Pelodiscus sinensis: one gene and its partners. The protein of the gene in region 3 purifies or fractionates together with the protein of the main gene of each other region. This does not show direct contact. Links are inferred from orthologs where the notes say so. Each region holds a gene or a part of one and is shown on either strand. Other genes may lie near its edges. The genes, in order: NF2, PALS1, YAP1 and RPS28.

Evidence for each region.
Region 1: the proteins of YAP1 (region 3) and NF2 purify together in Homo sapiens (affinity purification with mass spectrometry; 7 studies listed by BioGRID and IntAct, with this or other methods). This does not show direct contact. The link is inferred for Pelodiscus sinensis from reciprocal best matches to the Homo sapiens genes YAP1 and NF2.
Region 2: the proteins of YAP1 (region 3) and PALS1 purify together in Homo sapiens (affinity purification with mass spectrometry; 6 studies listed by BioGRID and IntAct, counting the BioPlex papers as one, with this or other methods). This does not show direct contact. The link is inferred for Pelodiscus sinensis from reciprocal best matches to the Homo sapiens genes YAP1 and PALS1.
Region 4: the proteins of YAP1 (region 3) and RPS28 purify together in Homo sapiens (affinity purification with mass spectrometry, with the first as the bait; 3 studies listed by BioGRID). This does not show direct contact. The link is inferred for Pelodiscus sinensis from reciprocal best matches to the Homo sapiens genes YAP1 and RPS28.

Annotation. Positions count from the first base shown.
Region 1 is NW_027465935.1:549,735-556,788, reverse strand, and holds the start of NF2 (merlin), read right to left. Parts: upstream 3,007-7,054; 5' UTR 2,729-3,006; coding exon 2,615-2,728; intron 889-2,614; exon of another isoform or gene 794-888; coding exon of another isoform or gene 689-793; intron 1-688. Other genes in the region: NIPSNAP1 (protein NipSnap homolog 1), read left to right, coding at 6,987-7,054. UniProt on the Homo sapiens protein: Probable regulator of the Hippo/SWH (Sav/Wts/Hpo) signaling pathway, a signaling pathway that plays a pivotal role in tumor suppression by restricting proliferation and promoting apoptosis.
Region 2 is NC_134714.1:72,830,360-72,838,344, forward strand, and holds the start of PALS1 (protein PALS1), read right to left. Parts: upstream 3,013-7,985; 5' UTR 2,860-3,012; intron 2,610-2,859; exon of another isoform or gene 2,491-2,609; intron 591-2,490; exon of another isoform or gene 519-590; intron 1-518. UniProt on the Homo sapiens protein: Plays a role in tight junction biogenesis and in the establishment of cell polarity in epithelial cells.
Region 3 is NC_134711.1:304,437,284-304,444,916, reverse strand, and holds the start of YAP1 (transcriptional coactivator YAP1), read right to left. Parts: upstream 3,016-7,633; 5' UTR 2,557-3,015; coding exon 2,272-2,556; intron 1-2,271. UniProt on the Homo sapiens protein: Transcriptional regulator with dual roles as a coactivator and corepressor. Critical downstream regulatory target in the Hippo signaling pathway, crucial for organ size control and tumor suppression by restricting proliferation and promoting apoptosis.
Region 4 is NC_134729.1:25,093,911-25,100,761, reverse strand, and holds the start of RPS28 (small ribosomal subunit protein eS28), read right to left. Parts: upstream 3,009-6,851; 5' UTR 2,937-3,008; coding exon 2,898-2,936; intron 2,804-2,897; coding exon 2,756-2,803; intron 2,061-2,755; coding exon 1,938-2,060; 3' UTR 1,925-1,937; intron 1-1,924. Other genes in the region: NDUFA7 (NADH dehydrogenase [ubiquinone] 1 alpha subcomplex subunit 7), read left to right, coding at 3,084-3,134, 3,247-3,296. UniProt on the Homo sapiens protein: Component of the small ribosomal subunit. The ribosome is a large ribonucleoprotein complex responsible for the synthesis of proteins in the cell. Part of the small subunit (SSU) processome, first precursor of the small eukaryotic ribosomal subunit.

The DNA of each region.
Region 1 (7,054 bases), on a different chromosome or scaffold from region 3:
TCAGAGCTAAGGATGTTAAAGTCCGTTTAATCAACTAATCGAGTAGTCGATGGAATTTCCATCGACTACTCGATTAATCGATAAGGGGAGACCTGCAGAGCCACAGTGGGGTTAGCTCCGGGCCTTGCCTTTTAAAGTCCTGCCTGGCTCTTACTACATTTAAAAGGCAGAGATGCAGCAAGGGACCGGGTGTGTCCCGACTCACTCCTTGTCTCAGATGCTGCGTCTTTACCTCTCCTGCCCCTCCACGAAGACCTCTCCTGCCCCTCTCCTGCCCCTCCCCCTCAAGAAAGAGCCCAGTCCGTCTGTCTGTCTGTCTGCTTGGCCGCCGGAACACATGCAGCTCGGGCTGGCTGGGGCAGATTTCACAATGGCCACCTTAAAAGAGCAATGCCTGTTCTGTTCTTAAAAGGGCAGGGCAATCTTTTTTTCTTTTTCAACAAGTTTTGCTGCAAGTTTTGTTTTTCACCCCCCGCCCTCAGCTCAGTTCCTTTTTTTTTTCTCAACAAGTTTTACTGCTATTTTGGGGAGGGGGGGGAAGGGGCGTGATGCCAAAAAGTTTGGGAACCACTGGACTACAGGGAAAACCCTGGTCCCTCGACCTGAACCCAGAGTAGTGGGCGGGCCCAGATCCCCCCCAACCCTTCCTGCTTCCATGGCAGATTAACGAGGGCGTTACAATGCAGACCTCTGAAAAGTGGCGCCATCTACGAACACAGCTGCCTACCCGGAACAGATGCAGGTGGCAGGGAGTAGATCCAAGAACATTCAAACTGAAACGTGGATGTTCCATCTCTGGCTACAAACACGTTGGTGTCTCCGGAGACACTCTAAATCGATGTTTCTCAACCAGTGGTACAAGGATCCTGAGAGGTACTCGAGAGAAGTCTGGGAGGGGAACATCAACACTACTGAAATTCGGAGAAAACTGAATTTGTGTTTTAAGTTTTACAGCGCTCTCTTTTCTGTAGACTTTTTACGCTGCTCAAATTTGGAGAAAACTGAATTTGCGTTTTAAGTTTTACAGCGCTTTCTTTTCTGTAGACTTTTTACGCTGCTCAAATTTGGAGAAAACTGAATTTGCGTTTTAAGTTTTACAGCGCTTTCTTTTCTGTAGACTTTTTACGCTGCTGAAACTTGGAGAAAACTGAATCGTTGTTTTCAATTTCACAGCGTTTTACTATGGGTGTCCTTATTTGACATCCAAAAATTTCATCGCCTGCCCGGCGACGATTAAATGTTGCAACGGTAGAAAAAAAATTAAGAACATAAGAACGTCCGTACTGGGTCAGACCAAAGGTCCTTCTAGCCCAGTATCCTGTCTGCCGACAGTGGCCAGCGCCAGGTGCCCCAGAGAGGGTGGACCGAAGACAATGATCAAGCGATTTGTCTCCTGCCATCCCTCTCCAGCCTCTGACAAACAGAGGCCAAGGACACCATTGTATCCCCTGGCTAATAGCCTTTTATGGACCTAACCTCCATGAAATTATCTAGCTTCAATTTAAACTCTAATAATAGTCCTAGTCTTCACAGCCTCCTCTGGCGAGGAGTTCCACAGGTTGACTACACGCCGTGTGAAGAACTTTCTTTTATTAGTTTTAAACCTGCTACCCATTAATTTCAATTAGTGTCCTCTAGTTCTTCTATTTAGGGAACTAATAAATAACTTTTCTTTATCGGCCCTCTCTACACCACTCATGATTTTATAGACCTCTATCCTATCCCCCCTCAGTTTCCTCTTTTCGAAACTGAAAAGTCCCAGTCGTTTTAACCTCTCCTCATATGGGACCCGTTCCAAACCCCGAATCATTTTAGTTGCCCTTTTCTGAACCCTTTCCAAGGCCAAAATATCTTTTTTGAGGTGAGGAGACCACATCTGTACCTGTCTGAAATTGTGTGTCGGAAATTTTTTTTAGGGATCGCTCAGTGGTTTGAGCATGGGCCTGCTCAACCCAGGGCTGTGAGTTCAATCCTCACAGAGGCCATTTAGGGATTTGGGGCAAATATTTGTCAAGGATGGTACTTGGTCCTGCTGTGAAGGCAGAGGGCTGGACTCGATGACCTTTCAAGGTCCCTTCCAGTTCTAGGAGATAGGCAATCTCCAGTGATTTAAATTTTATTTATAAAACTGGAGGTATCGGGGATACTTATTTTTTTTTTTTTTGAAGGGGGTACTTTATAAAAAAAAAAAAGTTGAGAGACGCTGCTCTAGAGGGTGTGTCTTTGGCTAGCAACTCCCCATCTCTGGACGCCGGGATGCAGCAGCGCGCAGAAAGTGGATTTTATCGGGAGCACTTTGCTCTGATTTACCAATACGCGGCAAGCCATTAGTGGGCCAACTTTTAGAGGGCTCCAACTACCTACATGTGGCCTGCCTTGATTTCCCCCCGATCCGTCCTCGGGGCCTGTCCCAACCCACTGTGTAGCTGTGGCGTGCTGCGCTTTACCCAGCCGCCGCCACCGTCCGCTCCAGGGGTGGGTGCGTCTCCGTGGCCGGCTCAGGGATCGCTCCACAGTGGAACGAAAGCGGCCCGCCGGGCAGCAGGGTGTCCGGGAACCCCGCGCCGGCAGCGATCCGGAGGCGCTGGCCGTGGTGCTCTGCGGACGCTGTTACCTCGCAGTTGAACTCCATCTCGGCGTCCATGGTCATGATCCGCACCGTGAAGGTTTTCGGCTGCTTTCTCTTCAGGGAGCTGAAACTCATCCGCGACGCGATGGCCCCGGCCATGGTGGGGTGCCGGGAATTAGGGCAAGATCCCACTTCTCCCCTCCAACACGCTGCCCGAGGCCCGGCACCAGGGGCAGGCGGGGGGCGGGGTGAGCTGGGTCTGGTCCCCGGGGGGGCACCCTACCAGCCCCCAGTGGCTCCGGTTCGCCAACGGGGGCGGGGCGAGCGTGCAGCGGGCCTGGCCGGAGTGGGGGGGGGGCAGCCCTGCGAGACCCAGCCCGAGAGGGGGGGCAGTGGGAAGGGAGTGCAGAGGGGCTGACCCAGGGGGCTTATCCCGGGGGGGGGTCTAGCCCTGGGGAGGAAAGGGGGGGGCCTGATGGGGGTGGGAACGGGGGAGGGGGCTATGGGGGGGCTAAAGGGGGGATGGGGAGGGCGGGAGGTTATAGGGGAGGAGGGGGGGAGGGCAGAGGCGGGGGGGCTAAGGGAAGGGCGGGGGCCTATGGGGGAGGGGTTAAGAGGGGGAGGGGAGGAGGGTGGGGGGGATGTAGGGGGAGTAGAGGGGGCCTAGCTCGGGGGGGAGGGTGGGGAGGTGGGGGGAGGGGCGGGGGGCCTAGGACGGAGGGGGACTAAGGGGGGGAGGGGCTGGGGGGTCCTAGCCCGGGGGGAGGGGCGGGCGCTCCGCGGGGGGGGTCTAGCCCGGGGGGGTCTGGGGGGGTCCTAGCCCGGGGGGAGGGGCGGGCGCTCCGCGGGGGGGGGTCTAGCCCGAGGGGGGGGCCTAGCCCGGGGGGGCGGGGCGGGGGAGCTCAGAACCGGGCCCCGCGGTCCCTGCCCACCGAGCGCGGCGGGCCTCAGCTGGCGCAGCCGAACCCCAGCGCGCTCCGCCATTGGCCGCGCCCCCCCCCGGGGGCGGGGCCCCGCCCGTCCGCCCGCCCGCCTCGGCCAATCGCCAGCCCCGCCCGGCCGGCCTGGGCGCGAGCCGCTCCCCGATTGGCCGGCGGCGCTGCCACTCCGCCGCGCGCGCCCCGCCTCCCCAGCAGGCTTGGTTGAGAGGCCGCTGGAGGGGGCGGGCCTGGGCCGGGGAAGGCGTCACGCGGGCTCGCGCGCCCCCTCGCGGCGGCCTGAGCGCCTCCCGGACTCAGGCTCGATGGGCGGGGCCTGGAACTGTCAGGGCGGGGCCTGAGCCGGGCCCTGGAACACTCAGGGCGGGGTCTGAACCTGTGTGGGCGGGGCCTGGAGACATGAGGGCGGGGCCTGGAACACTCAGGGTGGGGCCTGGAGCCATCCGGGCGGGGCTTTAGATGTCAGGGCGGGGCCTGGAGAGGCCAGGGCGGGGTCTGAACCTGTGTGGGCGGGGCCAGGATCCCTCTGGGCGGGGCCTGGAGCAAGCAGGGCGGAGCCTGGAGAGGTCAGGGCGGGGTCTGAACCTGTGTGGGCGGGGTCTGGAGCCATCGGGGCGGGACCCGAGCCCCACTGCAGCACCCAAGCCCTGGCACGTGCCCATCTGCGTCAGTTTCGCTTTGGGCCTGGCGCCCCCAGACCCCACCCAAGGGACAGGGGGCAGGGAAATCCGCCCCCCCCCCCCGGTGCTTTGGCGCCCCCTGGGCTTTGCCTGTCTGCCAGTCGTCCTCCCTCGCCAGCCAATCGCTGCTGTTTCCTCTGCCTCCCCCCCCCCCCACGACCAGGAAGGATCACACCCTAAGAAATAAGTTTAACACCCCCCCATGGGGCCCGCCTCCCCCACGCCAAATCCCTCAGCCCTAGCCCCCTCCTGCAGCCCCACCCCACAGCCCACACCCCCCCAGCCAAAGCCCTCCCCCCTCCCGTAACCCGGCCCACGCTGGTGAAAACCAGTGAGTGGGGGGGGGGAAGCAAGCAAGGAATGGAGGGGGCTGGAGTGAGTGTGGGAGGGCCTTGGAGAAGGTACTGGGGCGGGGCCTCAGGAAAGGGGCGGGGCTTCAGGAAAGGGGCGGGGCCAGGTTGCCTTTTCAGCTGACAGAAAGTTGGCTGCCCTCGCTGGCCTAGCCAGAGCGGAGGCAGGTGATCTGGGGCATTGTACCTATGTGGGGGGGGGATCTAGCTGGTGGGGGGCCGCCCCCAGGAACACCATCCCATGGCCATCTCTGGGGGGGGTGAACCCCCTCTCAGTGTACTCTAGGCAGGTGGCCCAGGCAACAACTGTCTGCAGCCTGACTTGTCCTTCCCTAGAAATCTGACCCAGTCTGCACCCCCCCAGAGTCAGCCTCCTTCTGGCTCACCCTTGCAAGGTAGGGCGCGCAAATGGCCCTTCCCCGTGTAACCCCGAAATCCGCCCCACGCCGCTCCTGCGGCACAGCAAGGGAGCCCCGGCTGGAGGTGACTTGTCGGCTTAGAGGACCTTTGAAAATGAAGAATGCAGACAGCAATGCATCCTCCTGGCCGGCTGCCCGGCGCGTCTGTAGAAGTGGGGGTGGCCCATAAAATCCATATTCCGAATGACTGGAAACCGTGCCTCCTCCTTGCCAAACGGGATTAGCAATGCAGCGACCCGCACGGGGGACAACGTCTGGTTTCCTGCGTCTGGGCCTTTGCGGTGGATTTCAACAACTCCCCTTGTTTTCAGATCTTAGAAATAGCAGGAAGAGGGAGTCAGGGGTGTCCTAATGTAGCTAGAAGCCTTTTTTCCGGAAGGGGGGGTGTCATTGTTGGATATTTAACCAAGAGCGCTTTTCTCCCCGCTGCTTCGTGGGCATTTGAGTGCAGAGCTGGGATACGCTTTTCAGCACCGTGTGAATTCCCGTCCCTTTCCATCTCTGCGCTCATTTCATTTATGCTGATTTCTTTTCAATATTTTGCCCTGCCTCTCATTTAAAATATTCGAGGCCTTTTTTCAATGGGGAGGTCATCATTGGATGTTTAACCAAGAGCGTTTTTCTCCCCGCTGCTTCCTGGGCATTTGAGTGCAGAACCAGGATACGCTTTTCAGCACTGTGTGACTTCCCCTCCCTTTCCATCTCTGTGCCCATTTAATTTATGGTGATTTCTTTACATATTTTTTCCCTGCCTCTTTCATTTAAAATATTCAAGGCCTTTTTTCAATGGGTGGGGGGAGTATTGCTGGATGTTTAACCAAGAGCGCTTTTCTCCCCGCTGCTTCCTGGGCATTTGAGTGCAAAACCAGGATACGCTTTTCAGCACCGTGTGAATTCCCGTCCCTTTCCATCTCTGCGCTCATTTAATTTATGCTGATTTCTTTGAAATATTTTTGCCCTGCCTCTCTCATTTAAAATATTCGAGGCCTTTTTTCAATGGGGAGGTCATTCGTAGATGTTTAACCAAGAGTGTTTTTCTCCCTGCTGCTTCCTGGGCATTTGAGTGCAAAACCAGGATACGCTTTTCGGCACAGGGTGAATTCCCGTCCCTTTCCATCTCTGCGCCCATTTCATTTATGGCAATAGCTTTTCAATATTTTTGCCCAGCCTTTCTTATTTAAGATATTTGAGGCCTTTTTTCAATGGGGAGGTCTTCATTGGATGTTTAACCAAGAGCGTTTTTCTCCCCACACCTTCCTGGGCATTTGAGTGCAGAACCAGGATACGCTTTTCAGCGCCGGGTGAATTCCCGTCCCTTTCCATCTCTGTGCTCGTTTCATTTACGCTGATTTCTTTTTAATATTTTTGCCCCGCCGCTATTATTTAAAATATTCGAGGTGGCTTACACCATTTTTTTAAAAGCCACACTATAAATACAGATCAAATATTGTATACACATGTAGTGACCGGAGATGGGTAGGGTCAACTCCTCCGTGCTCCCCGCACATAGATTGTGTTTTCGCGGGGAGGGGGGAGACTAGAAATGACACAACCGAAAATTCAGCTGCCCTGCTCCATGGCCAAGGCGATTAACCAAGAGGTCCCAGTTCAGGACTGCAGACCAACAGGACCAAGAATGGAACTGGGTCTCTACCCCAAGGAGCGTCCAGGCAGGCGTGAGGGCGCACAGATGGGCCCCCAAAGAGACCCACCCTGCTGCTCCTATAAGGGATGTTCCTCCTTGCAGAGGGACGGGGGCTCTGGGCTCGGAGGCTGGGGCAGCCCGGGTCTGAAATAGGGGGAGATTTTACGCTTCCCTGCCTCGTCCAAGCTTAGCTGCGGCCCCAGGCGTGTGCGCTTTGGGCACGCGGTGCGCACGGAATTGCGCCCCCCGCGCAGGGATCGCGCCCTCGCGCGCCCCTTCTTCGGGCAGGGGGAGCAAAGGGGCGCGGGGGGAGGGGAGTCCCCGCCCGGACCCGCCCCCCCGGCCCGCCCCGCGCAGCGCCCGGCTGCGGCTCCGCAGCGCGAAGATGGCGACGCGGGTGTGCGGGAACCCGGCGCTGCGGCGCCTGCTGCGGGGACCCTGCGTGGCCCGGAG
Region 2 (7,985 bases), on a different chromosome or scaffold from region 3:
CCACTGCTTCTTGTTCTATCCTCAGAGGCCAAGATTTCTCCCTCCTCCTTATGACACCCTTTTAGATATCTGAAAACTGCTATCATGTCCCCCCTCAATCTTCTCTTTTCTAAACTAAACAAACTGATTGTTTCATATAAGCCGAGGAAAATTTTTAAGTATGCCTAAGTGAAAGTTACTAGCATTTATATTCCCATTGCCTAATATTCTTGACAATGAAACAATCTCCGAAATTATTTTGGCTGAGCTACTGTGCCATATTTATTAAGCTTGACCTCAAAAGTTTAAATAATGGGAAACACCTTTCTTTATAGAGAAAAAACAGCTTTCATCTCTAAGTTTGACAGCAGTTCATGGATTTAACACATTTTTATTTAAATGTTTTAAGAAATAATTTAAGCCTTGGTGTATTTTGCATTGAATTAATATTCCATTTGAAAACAAAGTAAAAAAATATAAAAATCCATTTTTTAAATTATTTAATCAAAATATTTTTAAAACCATTTATATTTACCCACCATGATTTCAGGTGTGCCACATGATGCCCCTTAAAGAGGTCCGATTTTAAGAAAGCGTGGTACATCCACCCTCTGAAAAAAAGCAGACCTTTAAAGTGTCTGAAGTTGCATACACTACAATTGAGGCACTGAAAAATTACTAGTCACTTTTGAAAACCTTGGTTGATGTTCCCAAAGCAGGAGTAACCAAGATGAAATAGCACCATCGCCAGAAACACATTAAATACTAGAACTGTACAAAAATGAATTATGAAGGATTGCAGTTTTGCATTTTCATTCCTAATGGAAGGAGACTGCCATGTCCAAGTCACTATGTAATGCTTTTCAAGAAGCCAGCCAACAAGAACAGTGTCTCAGGAAGATATTTCACTTGTATTCAAAGATTTTTCAATTGTATCAGCTATGTATGAGACACACCTGCTTATCAGAGTTCAGGACAAATTCACAAAGGAGCTCCAATGTGTAACAAAGGCAAAAAAATTGCCCTAGCTACACTGCTCAGGGCTATGAAAAACTTGAGCCCTGTTCAATGTAAGAAGTAGACATAATCACCAGTGTAGACACCACTAGGTTAACAAAAGAATTTTTTTGTTAACCTATCTACAATCGACAGACCATGGTTCAACAACAGGAAAGCTGCAGCACCATAGCTGTGCCATTGTGGAATAGGCATACCCTAAAATCAAAATCAGTAAGAACAGGCAGTTGCAATGCATTCAGATTCAAGATCTTTGACTACCACTCTGACTCTTATCATTCCAGAATTGCTTTACTAGGCTCCAAACAAAAGATTGCCTAGAACATTACATAATGCAATAAAAAGGGACACATGCTTTTACTTCAGAGGTCAAATAAAAAAAATATATAAAAAAATGTTGAGAGCATTTAACAAAGTATTTCCTCAAAGATTTTGGTTATCTTTGGTGACCCTTCAACAAACTGATTTTTAAATTTATCATAAAAATGCACTTGATTTAAAAACTATATAGTATTCATTGTGCATTTAATAGAACTTAAGGATTTACTTGCAATTTTAGTTTAGTTCTAAGCCTCTGCAACAACTTGAAAAATTCACATAAGCATGAACAAAACATTGTCAGTGGGTTCTGGTTTAACAATTAGAAAATATATTTAGAGATACAATAAAATTGCTCATTAACTAGTGCTTTTAAACAATAGTAGTCTCCCTGCTTCAAAGGCACCATTAGGTATGAAATCCAACATTTGCTTCCATCACAGAATTCAAAACTATTGTAACTCACATTTTGAAACTTACATTTTGATGGCTCATTTTAAAATTAAATTGGATATTACAATTTCTCTCACATCCCTGTCATTTGTTTTTATAACCAGATTTTCCTACCTTTAAAAAAATATTACTCTTGTTGACTGGAAACCCACACAAACAGGAAGCAAAAATGAACAGTTTCATCCTTCACTCCCATCTCTTTCAGCTATGTAGCTTTAGTAATTTTGTAAACAAACAAACAAAAAAACCATCTGTATATTCAAAACAGTGAGGATACCTTGTAAGTGACTGATTTGGGTAGAGTTTCTACTTGCTGTCAGCTTTCTAATAAAATCAGCAAGCTGTATTTTGCCACTCTTTCTAAAGTAATATCTCTGGGACAGGAACTGTCTTCCTTGTTGCTTAGGTGTACACTTCCTACTCTGATCCGTCGATTAGCGAGATCCGAAACGTTACCGTAACAGTCTCATCAGTGTAATTCACTGATATTTAGTCAATAGTTTGATCAATGCCTACTGGGCAACCTTGAATGTGTTGGTTGCCAAGCCACTTTAATTTAATCCTGCAAAGCCCCATAAATCTCTACCGAGCAATCTCTTCACAGTAAGATTTCCAAACGCTGGCTTGCCCAACAGATGATGAAGTACGTACAGACCATTATTAAAATAAATACATTCAGAAAGTAAAAGACAACACTCAACACGGGGAGCCTTATTAACGCACCTTTAAAGGCTGAAACTTGCAATGGTTGCACCGGCGAGCAAGCCTTATGTTGGCAAACGCTGCACGATCGGGCCCCTAGTGCGTACAGGGAAGGTGGCGGATACGCAAACGGCAAGGCCCCCCCAGATACACGCACCCCCCCCCCCCCCCGACTGCACAGACACGGGTCACTCCGCAGCTCCGCTGGGACCCTACCAAAGTTCACGAGGAAGGGGGGGAGCAAAATCCGCCCCGCGCCCGCCTCCCGTCCTGGGAAATCCCGAGGCGCAGCAGCAGCAGCGGGGGCTGGGACCAGAGCTCCCCCCGGAACCCAACGCCCCTACCACCCCCCCCAGGGGGAGTCGATCACAAAGTGGGGGGCGGACTCACCTGCCTACTCCTGCTGCCGCCGCTCCGCACGGACGCGCCCAGCAGCGCCTTGTTCTACACCCCTCGCGCCCAGCCCGGAGACACCGGAGACAGCCCCGTCTCGCTCACCCCGCGGAGCTGCGCAGCCGCCCCAGCCACATACCAGGAGACAAACACCTCACGGCAGCGCCCGATCCACCCCCCCAGCCGTGGCCCCACCCCAACGGCCGGCCGCACGCACGCGCCCCGCCCGCCTTCTGCAGACGCACGTCTCTATTGGCTGGAGGGGCTGAGCGCTTGGGGTGCGCGCGCCCGCTTGCTGCCCAGGCGGCTGAGGGACTGGTGCTCGCTGCGGAGGGGCTCGGGGGCGGGGAGGGGTGCGTAGCTCTTCGGCCTACAGCTCCTTCAGCAACGGGCCGCCGGTTGAATTGTCCTTTGCTTTGTCCCTCGCGCCTGCTGCAGGGTTTCGTGCCCCTGCGTCATGCCTCTGCTGCCGCCTGCGTCGTGTTCAGTGGAGCTGGTGAGAAGGGCAGAGTAGCCACAAGCTACGACTCACGGATGATTGTGAGAGACTCCTGCGCAAGGCTGTCTGTGGGACCGGAGCCGCTGGTTAGCTAACACCCACAGTTATACCCCAGCGTGGTCGCCAACCAGCCCAGCCCAAGCCCTGACGGGACAAAGACCAATAAATAAATAAATAAATAAATAAAAGTTCCGACACCAGTTAGTCGAGCACTTTGGCAGCCAGAAGGAAGGGGATACTCTCAAGAGGAGATGACCATTAGTCAGAGAAAGGAGGCACCAGATTATAGGCCAGTGAGGACGTACCAGTTTTGCAGACAGGCACTACCGTTAGAATCCAGCTAATAGAGAAACCCCAGAAGGAAGGGACTAGTGAAGTTGGAAGAGATGCAATGGCACCCAGGTTATGCAAGAGGGACAAGTGCAGGAGACAGTCATGAGCCAGTAGAGGCAACACTCAGATCCCTGTGGATCAGAGAGAACCATCCAGTGGCCAACCTCATAGAGAGGAAGAAGAATGGACTGAGAGACAGTTTGCTACAGCCAGAAACAAGTGACAAAGAGATAGAGATGGGTCACTTATGCTATGGTAACCTATTGAGACTAGATTATCTAAGAGACTACTTAACAAGTGAAGACAAGACTGCAGTTTGGCTATGTGCAGCAATCCCAGGCCAAAAGGACACTGGGTGAGTGCTTGGGCTTCAATTATTTGTTTTAATATTTATATTAAAATATTTGAAAAAAAAGGGAAGATATATCACGATCAATGTATTTTCAGTCAGAAGACCATGTTCCCTGCAGGGACTGTTCTTTGTAGATATCATAAAAGGGATCCAGGCAGCAACTGAGCCACATAGTCAAATCAGTCCACAGGGTTAAATCCATGGCTACGTCTAGACTGGCATAATTTTCCGCAAACGCTTTTAACGGAAAAGTTTTCCGTTAAAAGCATTTGTGGAAAAGAGCATCTAGATTGGCACGGACACTTTTCCGCAAAAAGTGCTTTTTTTGCGGAAAAGCATCCGTGCCAATCTAGACGCACTTTTGCGCAAAAAAGCCCTGATCGCCATTTTTGCGATCGGGGCTTTTTTGCGGAAAACAAAGCTGAGCTGTCAGTGCTTTTGCGGAAATTCAAGCGGCCAGTGTAGACAGCTGGCAAGTTTTTCCGGAAAAGCAGCTGATTTTCCGGAAAAACTGGCCAGTCTAGACACAGCCCATGTGTTCAGTTTAACATGTATTAAGAACAGCCATACAGGGTCAGACTAAAGATCCATCTAGCCCAGTGTTCTGTCTTCCAACAGTGGCCAATATCAGGTACAAATTGGGACTGAACAGAACAGGGACTCTTCAAGTGATCGATCTCCTGTTACCCATTTCCAGCCTCTGACCAACAGTGTTAGACATCATTCCTACCCATCCTGGCTAATAAGTATTAATAGACGTATCCTCCATGAATTTATCTAATTCTTATTTGAACTGTGCTAAAGTCCTTCTCAACATCCTCTGGCAAGGATTTCCACAGGTTGTATGCTGCATCAAGAAATACTTCCTTTGTTTGTTTAAACTTGTTACCTATTAATTTCATTCGGTGACCCCTAGTTCTTATGTTATTGGAGCAAGTAAATAACTTTTCCTTATTCAATTTCTAAACTTAACAAAAACTACTAGCTTTCAAGTAAAAGCAAAACCAACACATTCTTCTCCTATCCCCCATCCCAGTTTTATGTAAGAAAGTGTAAGCTAGCTCTACACTACAATCTCTGATGAGCTGTGATTTGTGATGGGCATGCCTGTGCTGGCAAGAGTACTTAGTATAGACACAGTTATACTGGCAAAACTAAACAGCTTGGCTGTGTCTAGACTGGCCACTTTTCCGGAAAAACTTGCCAGCTGTCTACACTGGCCACTTGAACTTCCGCAAAAGCACTGACGATCTCATGTAAGATTGTCAGTGTTTTTGCGGAAATACTATGCTGCTCCCGTTCGCGCAAAAGTCTTTTTCTGAAAAACTTTTGCGCAAAAGGGCCAGTGTAGACAGCAGAGATTTGTTTTCTGCAAAAAAGTCCCGATCGCGAAAATGGCGATCGGGGCTTTTTTGCGCAAAAGTGCATCTAGATTGCAGAAAAGCATCCGTGGCCAAAAAGTGCTTTTGCGGAAAAGCATCCTGCCAATCTAAACGCGCTTTTCCGAAAAGGCTTTTAACTGAAAACTTTTCCGTTAAAAGCATTTGCGGAAAATCATGCCAGTCTAGACGTAGCCCTTTACTCTTTGCTAATTTAACACTCCTCATTTTTCCTCTATTAACTAATGTATTGGACTGTTTCCCTTTTCCACTCTCAATAAAGAGATGAGTGTCTAAATAAGATTTGGGACAGAAGGGGCACATTATCTTATAATCTTCATATCTTGAGAGTTAGGATAGTGATTAGATAGGAGGTACCAAGGTAGAGGGTGGCTCAGGACACAGTAATGTCAGCAAATGTTTCTTGGACCACCAAAAAAAAAAAAAATCAGCAGACACCTGCCCCTTTAAATCTTTTCTCCTTTGCTGCATGTTCACTGAATGCTTTGTGTAATTTTTCATATAGATGTCCAGCCACTTTTTAGTCTCTTGCCTATACTTACACATTCTGTCCATATTTTCCATGTATGTTTTTTTTCTGAAACCTATATACTCCAGTGTGTCTTCAGATTCAAACCTCTTTTTCGTTTCTTGGCATATAAACTGGCCAGCTAATCCTCCATTAATATGGACCCTGCCAAACAGCGTGTGCACCTTTCCACAGAAGGATTAATAAGCTCTAGTTTCTAGCCTTTTTACATTGTAGATTTTGAGTGCCTTTAAGGCTATGCTCTACCAGTTTGTGTTCCATTTTTTGTTCTGCCATATGTTATAGCTGCACACCAAACCAAGCATTTTCACTTTGATTAGTAGCAGGAGTGCGAGTATCAAATGAAGGGGAAAGGGAAGGCATTTGGAGAATAATGGAATCCAAATTCAGGCTGACTGCAGAACTACTCTGCATTCTTTACAGACAGGGGGAGTAGCAGACTGAGGGTGACCAGTTATGGCAGAGTAGGAAAAGAGGTGGACGTTTCTGCTGGCCTTTTATGATCTAGATCCACATTTTTACAAGCACTACTGGCAGCTATTGTAAGAATCCACAAATTACTTTCTTAAACCCAGATGCTTGCATGAAAGTTGCACAATGGCTAACTGTCTACGTTTAGCAATAAAACACTGCTTACTGGATGCAGAGACTCCATCCTCCCTTAAATCAGAGTCATCCAGCTTGATCACTGTCTTTTGTATCCAAGATTTACACAGGGAGGTCCTATGAGCCCACAAATATGCAGAAGTTCAGCCTTCTGTCTGTGTAGTTCTTCTAGATGGCAGGCATCTTCTTCTTGATGCTGTCCAAGAGCAGGTTCAGTGAGTGTATAGTACACAGCTTTTCACTAAGCAGTCAAATGTGTACACCAGCCTCCAACTTTGTTTTTGTCTTTTCTCTTCCTATAATTATATCTAAGGCTACGTCTACACTGGCCCCTTTTCCGGAAGGGGCATGTAAATTTCATGAGTGGTAGTAGGGAAATGCGCGGGGGATTTAAATATCCCCCGCGGCATTTAAATAAAAATGTCCGTCGCTTTTTTCCGGCTTTTAAAAAAGCCGGAAAAGAGTGTCTACACTGGCCCCGATCCTCCGGAAAAAGTGCCCTTTTCCAGAGGCTCTTATTCCTACGTTGAAGTAGGAATAAGATCCTCCGGAAAAGGGCACTTTTTCCAGAGGATCGGGGCCAGTGTAGACGCTCTTTTCCGGCTTTTTTAAAAGCCGGAAAAAAGCGACGGACATTTTTATTTAAATGCCGCGGGGGATATTTAAATCCCCCGCGCATTTCCCTACTACGACTCATGAAATTTACATGCCCCTTCCGGAAAAGGGGCCAGTGTAGACGTAGCCTTATAAGTGTTTTGATTCTCTGCCTGTATGGATTAGCAGACCATGTTAATTCTGAGATATGTAAGTCTCCAGATATCTAGTGGAAGACCTGTTTGTTTCTTTGGTAACCACGCTGCTCCTTCTGGATCTCAGCTTTGATCCATAACCCTAAGAAAGCATTAATGTTAGCCTTATCCAGCGTGCAGCACATTCATAAGATTCTTGGCAGAGACGTACTTCATTAAATTATCCAAAAAATTGAAAAGTTTTCACCTTCAGCAATTGAAGATGTCCTCTTCATGAATACCTCACCGCAGGATGCAATGTTAGCAACACTATTTGTTTAAGTAAGTTGACCATAGGCAAGTCAGCCCCTAGAGTGGGGGCAAGATACAGCCTGCAGGCCCGATCTGGCCTCCCAAGTCTTTTAATCAGGCCCATCCATCCCACTCACTCCTGTAGGTCAGAGCAGTGCCCCCACAAAGAGGCTAGCTGCTCCCTGTGGTTCTCTGTGCTGCAGGAGCAGCGGGGGAGGATTCCCACACTGCTCCAGCCCCCAGCAAAATCTCTCAGTTCCTATGGGCCAAAAAATCCCCCAGCAAGGAGAGCCACATGGAACAGCCATCTGGGGGCTGCTGATAGGCAGGGAAGCCTGCTTGAGAGTGCTGCTGGTTGAGAGCT
Region 3 (7,633 bases):
ATGATTTCCACTGGGTTTTATTTAACTCCATGATTTATTGAAATATATTGTACTAAAACCAGACAGCATCAAGATTTTAGTTACACTGTATGCTCTAACAACATTTGAAATGCACCACACCCAAGCTTTAAAAGTGTATGTTATACAGGTAAGTATTAACAAGGTGTACTTCATATAACACAATTCAAATATGTAATATGCTGAGCTGCATTTACGGTGGCCTTAATATATACTCAACAATATACATCTATCTGAAAATTATTGCTGAATACACAGAAGTTTACCTTTGTGCATAAAACAGCATGATAAAAACGTGTATAGTAAAAATATTTCTAAGAACTGTGCTTTTCCTCAGATCTCAGAGTTCACATGCACTATTACCACCAATTCTAAATGGGACAAACCCTATGCAAATCACCACCAATAATTCGTATTTCTGACAAGTTACAAGAATATAGAAATAACCCATCTCGAAGGCTTTTGTATTTTCTTTGCAGTCCTTTAAAAATTTTGGAAAATGAATTAACTCCTAGGCTGAGAGGATATATGCCAAAGTTTAGCTTTGAGTAAATGTTTTACAACAGTTATAAATCCTGCCAAATCTGAGTTTAATAATGGAAATATTGACAGGCCCTTAACTACAGGAATACCAGATACCTGTGAAATACACAGCACATCTCTTTTTTGACTATCTAGATAAAGTGACACCATCTTATAATATCTTACTTTATAACTTATCAGCTAAATTCATTGCTTAGCAAAAACATACGAGAGGCAGTTTACAGAAATTTAGTAACAGCAGCCTAAACATTAACTTTTAGTCATATCTGTATCAGCATTTTCGTCTTGGCAGAGTCAAATTCCTTAAAGAACAGACTCTGCTACGGACTTATAATGGGGCCAATCCTGCAGATCTTTTTCATCTTGTACTAAAAACTTGCAGGATTGTACCCTGGGGCTGTGTCTACATCGGCGCAATCTTGTGCAAATACTCTTTAACGCAAGGGTTCTTGCATTAAAGTAGTTGCGCAAGAGAGCGTCTACACTGGCATGTGCCTTTGCACAAGAGATGTGCTTTTGCGCAAGAGCATCCTTGCCAGTGTAGACGCTCTCTTGTGCAAGAAAGCTCCGGGCTTTCTTGAGCAAGAAATTCATGTTGCCTATCTACACTGGTGTCTTGCGCAAGAACAGTTGCACAAGAGGGCTTATTCCTGAGCGGGAGCATCATAGTTCTTGCACAAGAAGCACGGATTTCACACATTAGAACGTTCAGTGTTCTTGCGCAAGAACTCCCCGCCAGTGTAGACAGGCAGCATGTTTTTGCATAAAAGTGGCTGCTTTGGCGCAAGATCGTGCCAATGTAGACAAAGCGTGAGTGTTCAGATTACAGGACTGCAGCAGCTAAATTATTTCAATTCAATTTGCAGATATGGTTAATTTACTGATACTTCAGCAAAGTGAAAGGCCTACGACCAGGGACAGAAAAACCCATGGGCACTAGAATTAGTTTCTGCTGTGGGAAATTCAATCCTATGGAGTCCAATAATGAAATGGTGGAAAAACCACATCCAGATTGTTTTTTTTTTTTAAGTTTGGCAACAATTCCTCACTCCCTCTCCACGCAAATAAACAAACTATTTGACTATTACATTAGAGAACCAAATCCTTTTGTTTTTTCGAGTGAAACATTTTTAGGAATAATTTTAGGGCCGTTAATTCTCTCCCCCCCCCCCCCTCCCCACACGCTGGGAAACAAGAGTGCAATTATTGGGCTCCCAAGTAAGGTAGCTGGGGAGTGAGAGCCCCTGGCGGAGACAGGGCCTAATGTGAGTGCAAAAATCAGCTGCTGAGACTGGTAACTCCTGCGCCGAACTAAATGTAAAGTTTCCAAAGTAAAATCCCGAAGGGTCCCAAAAATAGGCACAAAGAAGCGAGCACCCCCGTCATAAAAGGGCAAGGGAGCTGCCCCACAAGACTCCAAGGGGCGAGCTCCCCGGCAAACCCCGAGTGCAAGGGGGCCCTGCCCCCACCCATGAGGGGGCGCTCACTCCTCCCCACGAGTGGGGGCTGAAGAGATCCCACACACGACGGGGGCCGAAGGACAGACCACCCCCTCCCCGCACACAGGAGGAGGAGGGCGTTCCCCGCCCCACACACACAGGAGGAGGAGAAGGGGCGACTGAAGGGGACGCTCTCCGATATCCCCCCCAACACACACGCCCCGGCGCGCCCCGCCCCCACCCACGAGAGGCGGGAGAGTCCCCCCCTCACCTGGCGGGAGTGGGCCTTGGGCTCGGGCGGCTTGAAGAAGGAGTCGGGCAGCTTGCGGAGCCGCATGGGCAGCGTGTGCGGCACGTTGGCGCCTTTGGGGTTCATCACCGCGTTGAAAAGCGCCTCCAGATCGGTCTCCGAGTCGCCCCGCACATGCACGATCTGGTGCCCGGCCGGAGGAGGCCCCGCGCCCGGGGGCTGCCCCGCGCCAGACTGGGCTCCTGGCGGCTGCGGCGCTTGCTGCTGCGCTGAAGGCTGCGCTTGCTGAGGCTGCCCGGGATCCATGACTCCGCGTCCGTACCGGGGCTCAGCGACTCAGATCCCGGGCTCTCCACCCCACATACCCTATTGCCCTGCCGGTGCTCCTTCTGCTGCTCTGCCCCCCACGCCCAGCAGCACCAACGGGCAAAACAAGCCCGACCTAGCAGCAACTTCCCGGAGCCCGGCCCACCCCTCTGTCCCGGCGGCGGAAACTAACTCGCACAACTCGCTAAACAAAAGTTCTGAGATGTGCCCGCCCGAATCACTCCCAGCCAGCTCCGCCCCTCGCGGAGCCCGCCCGCACCGTTTCCTGCAGCCAACTTTTAGTCCTACTGCGCCCGCCCGCTCAGAATCCAGTCACAGCCGGGTACCACTATCACTGGCAGTTCTTTATGCGCCCGTCCGCATAGAATCTGGCAGTCAGCGGCCGCCACCAAGTCGCGAGCAAACTTCCTCTCGCGCAACATCCCGGAGAGCCAGCCCTTTCGCAACCGCCCGCCTCATTTTTTAATCCTCTACTCCCGCCCGCCACGCTGCCCTTCAATGCTGAAGTCCATGCATCGAAAAGTTTAAAATAAATTCCTCCAAACTTCCAGCCTCCTGCTGCGCCCCTCCCCCCGCGACCTCCGCGCTGGAATGGGGAGGGAGAAAGACGCTTTATCCCCAGAACGGGGAGGGGGTCGGCGGAGACTTTTCCCAGCCATGGCCCCCGGGAGAGGGAGGGAGAGGCGAGGGCCTCCTCCCCTGAATGCGGGCGGGAGAAACGTGGCTTCTCACTGCTTCCCATTCTATCCACGGAATTAGATAGAGGTGGGGAGGGGGAATCGGAGAAGAAAGAAATTGGATCTCTGGTCTCCATAGGGGGTGGGGAGAGCTGAAACCCTCCTTCTCACAAGGGAACCTAACCGCACCCTCCAAGTACCACTATGGAGACTAATTTTAACGACTAAAGTGGCGTTTCTGGTAGGGTAAATTATACAGTTACATTCAAAACAGATTTTTCTCTAGTCAGAGCTTACTATGGGGATTGATCACCTTTCTGATATAGAGTCCAATGGAAACAATTCAGTCAATTTAACTTACTATACACCCACTCGAGGTTGATTCAACATGCTGCTTAATACATACCTGTAAGCCTATAACACAACTATTATTTATTAACTAATTATATAAAATAAAATGTTAACATTTTTGAAAAAAGATGGAGAATAACAGTTTTAATGTTTGAGGATTTTGAAACACAACAGGTAACAATGTGGGGGTGGGGAAAGCAAGATTAATGGATCCTTTTGAGTTCTATGCAAGTTACTGCAAGCCGCATTCAGATAATATGATGCACTCACTATGGCCCCAATCCTAGATTTATGCACAATTAGTTTCATTGACTTCTAAGGGGCTAAGTAAAAGTATGTACAAGCATTAGGGTTTGCAGGATCTGAATCTTACAATTTAAAATCAATGTAACAAAGCTTTTAAAAACATTTTATATGTAATTATAATTTGTGAACATAAAACATCCCTTGATAATAATTCAAAAAAACTATGTTAAATGTATATTGTAGGTCACATTTTTGTGTAGGCAGGCAATGTATATTTCATTGAAGGGAATGGAACTATGAAAGTGTTAATTGATTCCATACAGAAAGAAGAGCTCCTCCATTCCATTATACCACTAATATATAGAACTGGAGATTAAGAATAGTCACTTAAAAAATAAGCCTCCACCAAAAGAATGGTACAATACATGAATATGTCGTTTCAGGGGATCCACAATCAAGTAGGCAAATGTCTGTTCATGGCTATTGGTTGAAGGATAGCACATACCATCATCATCCTGAGGAGAGGAAAATTCTAGTATTAACAACAAACTATATATATACTACAATCATTTAATATTAAACAGCCTATTTGAACATTATGAATTCTTATATTCAATTACTCTTATGATCAGTTAATATCTACAAAATGCATTGTGATAATTTTGCAGACAATATGGAGTTAATATTAGAATAGATGGCCATTTTAAGGCACGAATCTTGCAAACATTTGTACAGGTAAATAACTTTATATAATTCAGTAGTTCTGTTTAATATGTAAAGATTAATTTACATAAGTGTTTGCATAATTAGAGACTATATTACAAATGATTAAAGAATAAGGATTTGATCATACAGCCACTGAAGTCAATGGCAAATCTTGTGTTAACTTCAGCAGGGCCATAAATATTTTCTTTTAGGGTATATCTAGACTGCGTGCTTCTTTCAAAAGAAGCTTTTTCTAAAGAATCTTTTGAAAAAGCTTCTTTCAAAAGTGATCATCTAGACAGGCACATGCTCTCTTTCGAAAAAGCCCTATTTGCGGTCAAGAACGCCTTTTTTCAAAAGAGCTCTTTCAAAAAAAGGTATTCTTCCTCCTAAAAAGAGGTTTACTGCTGTTGAAAAAACCACCGCGTCCTTTCAATTTAATTTAGAAAGAATGTGGCGCCAGTCTAGATGCAGATGAAGTTTTTTAGAAAAAAGGCCACTTTTTTCAAAAAAAACCCTGTAGTCTAGACACAGCCATATTGACTGTTTTCCAGTCAGAATTCATTTAGGCATCTGATCACCATCTCCAATATTTACATATTCAAAAATAACTTTCTCTGTATTTACATACCAAGAACTACTGCATGTTAATGAAAGTAATATCTATAGTTTTAAGACTCAAGATAAATATCAGGCTATGTTTGTGAATCAGATTTGATTTCAGAATGTTTTTAAAAAGACTAATGGCAGTCCTTGCTCAGGCAAAACAGACTTCAATTAAAGTTTTGACCTAAAGGCTACAGCAGGCCATCCAAAGTTTACTGGATTAAAAAATTATGTAATATTGTTCAAAACACCGGAACTAGGAAATACAATCTAATCTAAATCAGGCAGAGTTTTCACACTGTGTTATGAATGCCTTTTAAAGTCATTTTAGTTCACTTAGATGTATTTTGTTTTGTTTTTTCATTTATCTGGTTTTAGATAAGAGTAGTACTATCTGTATATTTCAGTGCTTCACCACCATAATATTTGGATGCTTATACACAAATTAAGAATAGCATCAGTTCTATCTGCAGTTCTAAGTTTAAACAGGTTGGCTACGTCTACACTGGTCCCTTCTTCGGAAGGGGCATGCTAATTTTGAACTTGGGAATAGGGAAATCCGCAGGGGGATTTAAATATCCCCCGCGGGATTTAAATAAACATCGCCGACGCTTTTTTCCCGGCTTGGGGAAAAGCCGGAAAAAAGCGTCTAGACTGGCGCGATCCTCCGGAATAAAGCCCTTTTCCGGAGGATCTCTTATTCCTACTTCAAAGTACTTTGAAGTAGGAATAAGAGATCCTCCGGAAAAGGGCTTTATTCCGGAGGATCGCCAGTCTAGACGCTTTTTTCCGGCTTTTCCCCAAGCTGGAAAAAAAGCGGCGGCCACGTTTATTTAAATCCCGCGGGGGATATTTAAATCCCCCTGCGGATTTCCGTATTCCCAAGTTCAAAATTAGCATGCCCCTTCCGAAGAAGGGACCAGTGTAGACGTAGCCGTGGTGTTTGTGAGACACTCAGTTGACTTAGTGATGCTAGAACTGGATCATTTTAACTGCTGTCTTTGAAAAAAATTGAGATAATCTGGTGATGATTTTAGATAGTATATGTGTGACCTACGATATATAATGATACTATTGACCATATCTCCAAAACATGTGTAACAATTTATCAATATATTTTAAGAGTTAGCAAATAAGCTTGTGCTTGTGGTGCCAATTAACACTGCTGTAATTAAGTCTGAGTTAGCATTCAAGAAATGTCTTTATTTAATATCAAATATTTCAGGTTTCCTCATGCTGAAATTTGGTTATATGCAAATCATGTAAACTTCTTAAACTATTCTGAGTTCAGAAACATACAATTACTACAAAAATTCAAGTATTTCCCTCCCCCACTTTCTCTGGACTGCCAAAATCTGTGTTAAAATACATATACACAGGTGTAATGATTCCTAAAATCTAGAATTAGTTTAGAAAAGTCTAAAAAAGTCAGAAGTCTAGAAAAGTCAGAAGATTAAAAATTGAAAAGTAGTTTTGGAACATATTGAGTACCAATTTATCACAGTGCTTTCTGTAATTACATAGTTTCATCACTGACAGTAGTGTTACCAAGTTATCATTATAATGTTTTTGTTCAATATCCATATGGAGCCGTTAGAAGGGTTAGCAAGAAGGCATGGGACGACACAGTGTTTTCATTATACTAATGATTCCAAGCTCTATATCTCTATTTTATCTGATCCAGCCAATTTTTGGTAGAGATTGGGCTAATTGGCTGAACCTCTGTCCAGATGAAAAGGAAATCATGCTTTAAGAATAAGCATTCAGCCAAAATATATAGTGAGGATTATGTTTGCCTCTTTAATTAAGGGTGCATGTCTACCATTTGTTACACCAGTTTTCAGAAGGGGCATTATGTTAGATTCTCAGCTGCTGTTAGATGATCATATAGCAACAGTGACCAAGACAGCTTTCTTTCATCTATGTCTGGCTAAGACATTGCTACTATTTCTTTTGGATGCAGACTTTGCAAGTATGATCCATACCTTTATCACCTCAAGATGAGTTTCCCATATGCACGCTACATAAAACCACCTTAAATCAACTCAGAAATTGAACCTGTTTTTAGGCAGGCTTTTCTCCATGTAGGCCTGGATTTTGGAATTCATCTCCTCCCCCCAGGCTGAAATAACCCATATTGTTGACCTCCAGAATATGCTGCAAAGCCAACTTCTTTTCCTAAACTTTTGAAAATGAAGACTTGTGGTAAGGCCTGTAACTTGAATTACATTTCTCCCCCATCCCTCCATTTGTGGATTTTGAGGAGACCATTGAATTTATTCTTTTTTTATTATGTTGATGGTAACATAATATGGAAAATATGACAAAGGTACCTAGAAGCGTTTTTGAATGTTTTATCTAAACCTAAGAAAACAATAATGTAAATCTCTGAAGCTCATGTGAAACCAATACCAATTCACAGATATGAAAACTGTTAACAAAAATGCTGAGTAATTTTTGGTTATGAGCAT
Region 4 (6,851 bases), on a different chromosome or scaffold from region 3:
CTATGACCACACAAAAAGGCTGCAGAGCAACTTGGAGCAAAAGCTGCAGTGGTTAGGTTGCTCCCAGCTACCACCCTTTGCTGCTGCCTGTGTAACCGTGCATGTTAACCCATGAGCCCAGGTTCACTGGTTAACCTTGTGCATCAGGGCTACTTAACTTTGGAAGCCCTGGAGACCACAATGATACAGCATATGCAAAGGGCCGCAACTTAAGTGTGGTTATATACACATGCAAATACCTTTTCTTACATTGATAGGCATGAATACAAAGATTAAGGCAAGACTACACAACATGAAGGCCCTATTTAAGTCAGTTCTGCTGATATTAATAAAATGCAGTATTTACCCAATTTCCACCCATGATAGCACTTTTAACGAGTAACAACGGTCCAGAAACTACTAAAATGCTTAATAGAAGACCATTATATCTACTCGCTGTTGTGGAGTGTGTTCCCAGTGACAGCCACATTCAAAGGATCCCACTGGCAGGCCGTGTGTTGAGCCCTGTGTAAACCCAAACTGCACTGCAGGCCATGGGCTGCATGTTGAGTAGCCCTGGTGTACATGGTTACATTTTCACATCCCTAAAAACTACTAGCTCCGTCCTCTGAGGTGTGCAAAGAGGGGCAACCATCACACTCACATGGTCTATATTATAAAAAGTTACTGTATTTGAATGGAAATTCAATGAACTTGGTTCTTCATGAATTGACAAGCAACAACCATAATTTTTTTTATGGATTTTGCAGTTAGTGTAGAAAGACCAGTCATGGTCACATGTCAACTGCTAACTCAATTCTTCACAGTTGAGTTCGAACACAGTAATCATGGCCAGAGTGCTGCCCCCAACCATGAACAGTCACAGTTATATTTAAGGTTTAATCTGGTGCAACACCACCAAAATGTCTGGAAAGACATCTGCAGTAAAACAATGAGTACACCACGCCCTACAGTTGCCAGAGCAGCCCGTCTACAGCATGCCCCCTGTAGCATTGGAGCAGCCCCTTGCCTTAGGCAGGCAGGGGACTGTTCCAGCCCCCACAATTTAAATGGAACTGGTAAGCAATTTTGGGATGTAATAGCATAGTTGATTAACCAATAAACAAAAGCTTTTAAATTAAAGCTATAAAACTACACATATCCCCCTCCCCCCCCCCCCAATTTTTTTTAGCAGGCAGACTAGCAGCCTGGTTCAGTCCTGCCTTGCAATGAGTTCAGGCCCTATTCCTGCTGTGGCTCTGCATTTAAAGTGTATTAGGAGCCAGGCAGGCAGCCTAGCTCATGCCAAGTCCAGGAGCTCAGACTGCGCCCAGGCAGGAGCTGCTGCCACCCCACACTGCTGCATGGAGTAACAGGCAGCTGGTCTGCAAGGGGATCTGGTTTTTAAACTGACTCCTCTCATGGACCAACTCCTGCCTGGCATCCCACACTGCTACCTTGGATACAGAGGCAGCAGTGCGGAGTGTCAGGGGGCTCCTCAAGAGTGGGCTACACACTGGATGCAGGCCTCACCCCCTGGGACTACAGGATAGTCAAGTAACTAATAAGAATTCATGAGGTTACTCAACTATTCAATTAACTGATATTTAACATCCCTAATAAGCACCACTCGGTTATGTTAAGGGTGATGGATACCAATTATCCTTTCACATCTCTACTCTAGAACAATTTTTTTCCCCCCATTTTCAAAAGAAAGCACAAGAATCAAATACTCAGTGTTAAAATTCTTATGGCCTCAAAGCAAACAGCCCTGGGAACTCTACAGAGGAGTCTCAAAACCCAGACATGTACTTTTGGCTCAGACGGGTGTCTTACCCAGAAGCCCATTTTAAAGAAAAAAAAATGTTCCTGGCTGGGGGTTTAATGTATTTCAAGAGAAGCTTCAACAAGGGCTTGAGGACGGGCTGAAAACTAAATGAGTTACCATGCTGTGCAGATCAGCGCAGTCGCCTTGCTTCACGCTCAGACTCCAGCAGTGTCAGGACATCCCCTTCGCGGACAGGCCCCTTCACATTCCGAATGATGGATCTGCTGGTGTCGTCCATGAATTCAACACGAACCTACCAGGCACAGCGGAGACTCAATAGACGTGCTCTGCGTACTCATATTCCTGCTGCCCCACAGGCTTGGACAAGCTGGATGACGCAGGAGGGGCAGGACAAGGGTGTAGAAAAGGGGTGGGCAATAATTTTACATGGGGGGGGCCACGCACTTCAAAAATTCCTGGTGCCACAGGTGCAAGAGGCAGGGCCAGGACACTTCTGTGCTTCCCCACCCACAGAACCCTATTAGGCTGGGGGGGGGGGGGAAGCATGTGACGTCTCTGCCCCCCCCCCCCAAACCACCAGCTGTTCTGAAGAGCTGGCAGTTCCCTCCAGGCGGACCCTTTGTGGTGGGAGACTTCTTGTGTCTCTCCCCCTCCCCCCCCATCAATCAAGGCCTGGGGGTGGGGGAGCAGGGAAATCCCTCGCTCCCTGCCCCCCCGCGGTGTAAGGGGGTGCCCTGCGAAGAGTCAACGCGGGCAGTGGACTAGGCAGACCGCGCGCTCCCCACCCACAGGCCGGTTGGCGGCAGGGGCCGGGTCCGGCCCGTAGGGGCCCTTTTACCTCCCCCACCTGGGAACATGGGCCCCAAGGCGGCTTAGTGGGGCGGCGCGGGGCGCTACGGAACTCCCCGCCGCTGGACGCCGGCCCGAGTGCGGCCGACACGGGCCGGCTCGGGGGGGGGGGGGGGGGGGCAGGGGGCCCTCGCTCACCTGGGTGCACTGGCCCTGCGAGCCCGTCCGGCCCAGCACCTTGGTCACCTGCAGGGAGAGAGACGCGTCAGCCAGGTACGGTACGGCCCGGCCCCTCCGCCCCCGCCCCCGCCCCCGCCGGCCCGGCCCCCGCCCCGCGCACCCGGGCCAGCTTGATGGGCTGCACGCGACTCGTGTCCATGGCGGCTGTCGCGTATCGAGGGAGCGGGGTGCAGCCCCTCGCGGCTTTATATAACCCCAGATCTCGCGAGACTCCGCGTGCCCTGCGTCGCTCTTTCCCGGCAGGCCCCGCGCGCGCATCCTCCGCTTGCCCTTCGTAGCGACCAAGATGGCGTCTGCTACCCGCCTCATCCAGCGGCTCCGCAACTGGGCGGCCGGGGTAAGGCAGGCGGGGCTGGCGCGTCCCTGTCCCGCGGGCCGGCCCGGGCTCCCTGCCCGCCCCGGGCCCTTCTCCCCGCCCCAGACTGAGACTCGCTCCCCTTCTCTTGCAGCGGGACCTCCAGACCAAGCTCCAGCTTCGCTACACAGAGATCGCCAGCAGGTACGGCGGGGGGGGGCTCTCGGGGCGTGTGCTGTGGAGAGCCCCGGGCCCTGCAGTCCCCCCACCGCAAAGAGGGGGGACCCCCCCAGGGACACAGACTGAGGAAAGAGTCTTCACCAGTGCTCCCCCTCATCTTTTCCATCCAGCTGCAGAACAATTATTTTTATGTGCACTAGGGGTATTGGTGAATGCCCAGTTACACAATGAACCCATACACTTGGGTTTATTGGGTTACATGCACCCCCACCTCCTTCTTAGCTGCCTCTCTATCAGTCTGCTTGTGCTGGCTACCTTGGAGCCCCTCTAGCCCTGCTGCCTCCCATAGAGGCAGCAGCGCAGTGGGAGAGCAGGCGGGAGCTGATACATGCATACCAGTGTCATACCAAAATAAAGAACTCTATAATAATGAGGGATTTTGTTATCCTCATATTGACTAGATACATGTCACCTCAGGAAGAGAAGCAGAGATAAAATTTCTCAATGGCTTAAATGACTGCTTCTTGGAGCAGCTGGTTCAGGAGCCCACAAGGGGAGAGGCAATTCTCCATTTATTTGTGAGTGGAGTTCAGGATCAGGTCTAGGTCCAGGAGATAACCGTTACAGGACCGCTTGGGAATAGTGACCATAATATAATAACATTTAACAGTCCTGTGGTGGGAAGAACACCTCAACAGTCCAGCACTTTGGCATTTAATTTCAAAAAAGGGAATTACACAAAAATGAGGAGGTTAGTTAAACAGAAATTAAAAGGCACAGTGACTAGAGCCAAATCCCTGAAAGCTGCATGGAAACTTTTTAAAGACACCATAATAGAGGCCCAACTTAAATGTATACCCCAAATTAAAAAAAAAAATAGCAAGAGACCTAAAAAAGAGTCACTGTGGCTTAACCACCATGTAAAAGAAGCAGTGAGGGACAAAAAGGTATCCTTCAAGAAGTGGAAGTCCAATCCTAGTGAGATAAATAGAAAGGAACATAAACACTGTTAAATCAAGTGTAAAAATGTAAGAAGAAAAGCAAAAAAATATTTTGAGGAACAGCTAGCCAAAAACTCAAAAAGAAATAGCAAAATGTTTTTAAGTACATTAGAAGCAGGAAGCCTGCTAAAAAAACCAGATGATCGAGATATAAAAAGAGCAATCAAGGACAATAAAGCCATTGCAGAGAAAGTAAATGATTTCTTTGCTTCAGTCTTCACAGCTGAGAATGTTAGGGAGATTCCCAAATCTGCACCGTTCTTTGAGGGTGATGAATCTGAGGAGCTGTCCTGGATTGAAGTGTCATTAGAGGAAGTATTGGAACAGATAGAAAAACTTAAAGTTAACAAATCACCGGGACCGGATGGCATTCATTCAAGGGTTCTAAAAGAACTCAAATGGGAAATTGCTGAACTATTATCTGTGGTTTGTAACCTATCCTTTGAATCAGCTTCCGTACCTAATGACTGGAAGGTAGCCAACATGACACCAATATTTAAAAAGGGCTCTATGGGTGATCCTGGCAATTACAGACCGGTAAGTGTAACTTCAGTATCGGGCAAATTAGTTGAAATAATAGTAAAGAATAAAATTGTCAGGCACGTAGAAGAACATAATTTGTTGGACAAAAATCAACATGGTTTCTGTAAAGGGAAATCATGTCTTACTACTCTATTAGAGTTCTTTGAAGAGGTTAACAAACATGCAGGCAACGGGGATCCAGTAGCTGTAGTATACAGTCAGTCCCCGGGTTACGTACAAGATAGGGACTGTAGGTTTGTTCTTAAGTTGAATCTTAAGTCGGAATTGGCGTCAGCCGCTGCTGAAACTAATCAATTTCAACCGCGGCTGAATCTGGATGCCAGTTCTGACTTACATACAGATTCAACTTAAGAAACAGGGCTTCCTGTAGTCAGCCGCTTGTCAGTTTCAGCAGCGGCTGACTTGGGGGCGCCTGGGGCAGAGCAGCTGGGGTGCTGCTGGGTTGCTCCAGTAGAGCGGCTCCTCGGCGCTACTGGAGCAACCCAGCAGCACCCTAGTTGCTTTGCCCCAGGCGTCCTGATTCAGCCGCTGCTGAAACTGACCAGCAGCGGCTGAATCAGGACGCCTGGGGCAGAGCAGCTGGAGTGCTGCCGGGTTGGTCCGGAGCGGCGCTGCAGGACCAACCCGGCAGCCCCCAGCTGCTCTACCCCAGGGGCAGGCAAGAAAAGCCTGGTTTGCTGGAGGGGGGGGGCACTAGCTGCACCCACCCCCCCAGCAGACCAGAGAGACGGGGGTGGCGGGACCGCCCAAGTCCTCCACGGCTTTGCTCCGTCTCCCTGGACTGCTGACCTGGGAGACGCGGAGCAAAGCCGCAGAGCACGCGGGCAGCGGGACAGTCCAGGCGCGCCGCGGCTGTCCCGCTGCTGGCGTGCTCCAAGGCTTTGCTCCCCGTCTCCCTGGTCTACAGGGAGACGGGGAGCAAAGCCTTGGAGCACACCCGCAGGGGGACAGCTCAAGCGCGCGCCTGGGCAGTCCCGCTGCGGGCGTGCTCCAAGGCTTTGATCCCCATCTCCCTGCAGACCAGGGAGACGGGGAGCAGCTTTTCTCGCCCCGGAGGACGGGGGCAGCGGACCGCGGCGCATCTGGGCATCCCGACGCTCCCATCCTCCGGGGCGAGAAAAGTCCCATTCGTAACTGCGGATCCGACATAAGTCGGATCCGTGTAACTCGGGGACTGCTTGTACTTAGATTTTCAGAAAGCCTTTGACAAGGTCCCTCAGCAAAGGCTCTTGTGTAAATTACATTGTCATGGGATAAGAGGGGAAGGTCCTTTCATGGATTGAGAACTGGTTAAAATATAGGAAACAAAGGGTAGGAATAAATGGTAAATTTTCAGAATGCTGAGGGGTAACTAGTGGTGTTCCCCCAAGGGTCAGTCCTGGGATCAATCCTGTTCAACTTATTCATAAATGATCTGGAGAAAGGGATAAGCAGTGAGGTGGTAAAGTTTGCGGATGATACTAAACTGTTTAAGATAGTGAAGACAGAAGCAGACTGTGAAGAACTTCAAAAAGATCTCACCAAACTGAGTGATTGGGCAACAAAATGGCACATGAAATTTAATGTGGATAAGTGTAAATGCATGTTGGAAAAAATAACCCCAACTATATATACAGTATGATGGGGGCTAATTTGGCTACGACAAATCAGGAAAGAGATCTTGGAGTTATCGTGGACAGTTCTCTGAAAACTTCCACACAGTGTGCAGCGGCAGTCAAAAAGGCAAATGGGATGTTAGGAATTATTAAGAAAGGGATAGAAAATAAGACACGGAATATCTTACTGCCCCTGTATAAAACTATGGTACGGCCACATCTTGAATACTGTGTACAGATGTGGTCTCCTCACCTCAAAAAAGATATTTGGCCTTAGAAAGGATTCAGAAAAGGGCAACTAAAATGATTAGGGGTTTGGAATGGGTCCCATATGAAGAGAGGTTAAAGCGACTGGGACTTTTCAGTTTAGAAAAGAGGAGACTTAGGGGGGATATGATAGAGGTATATAAAATCATGAGTGGTGTGGAGAGGGTGAATAA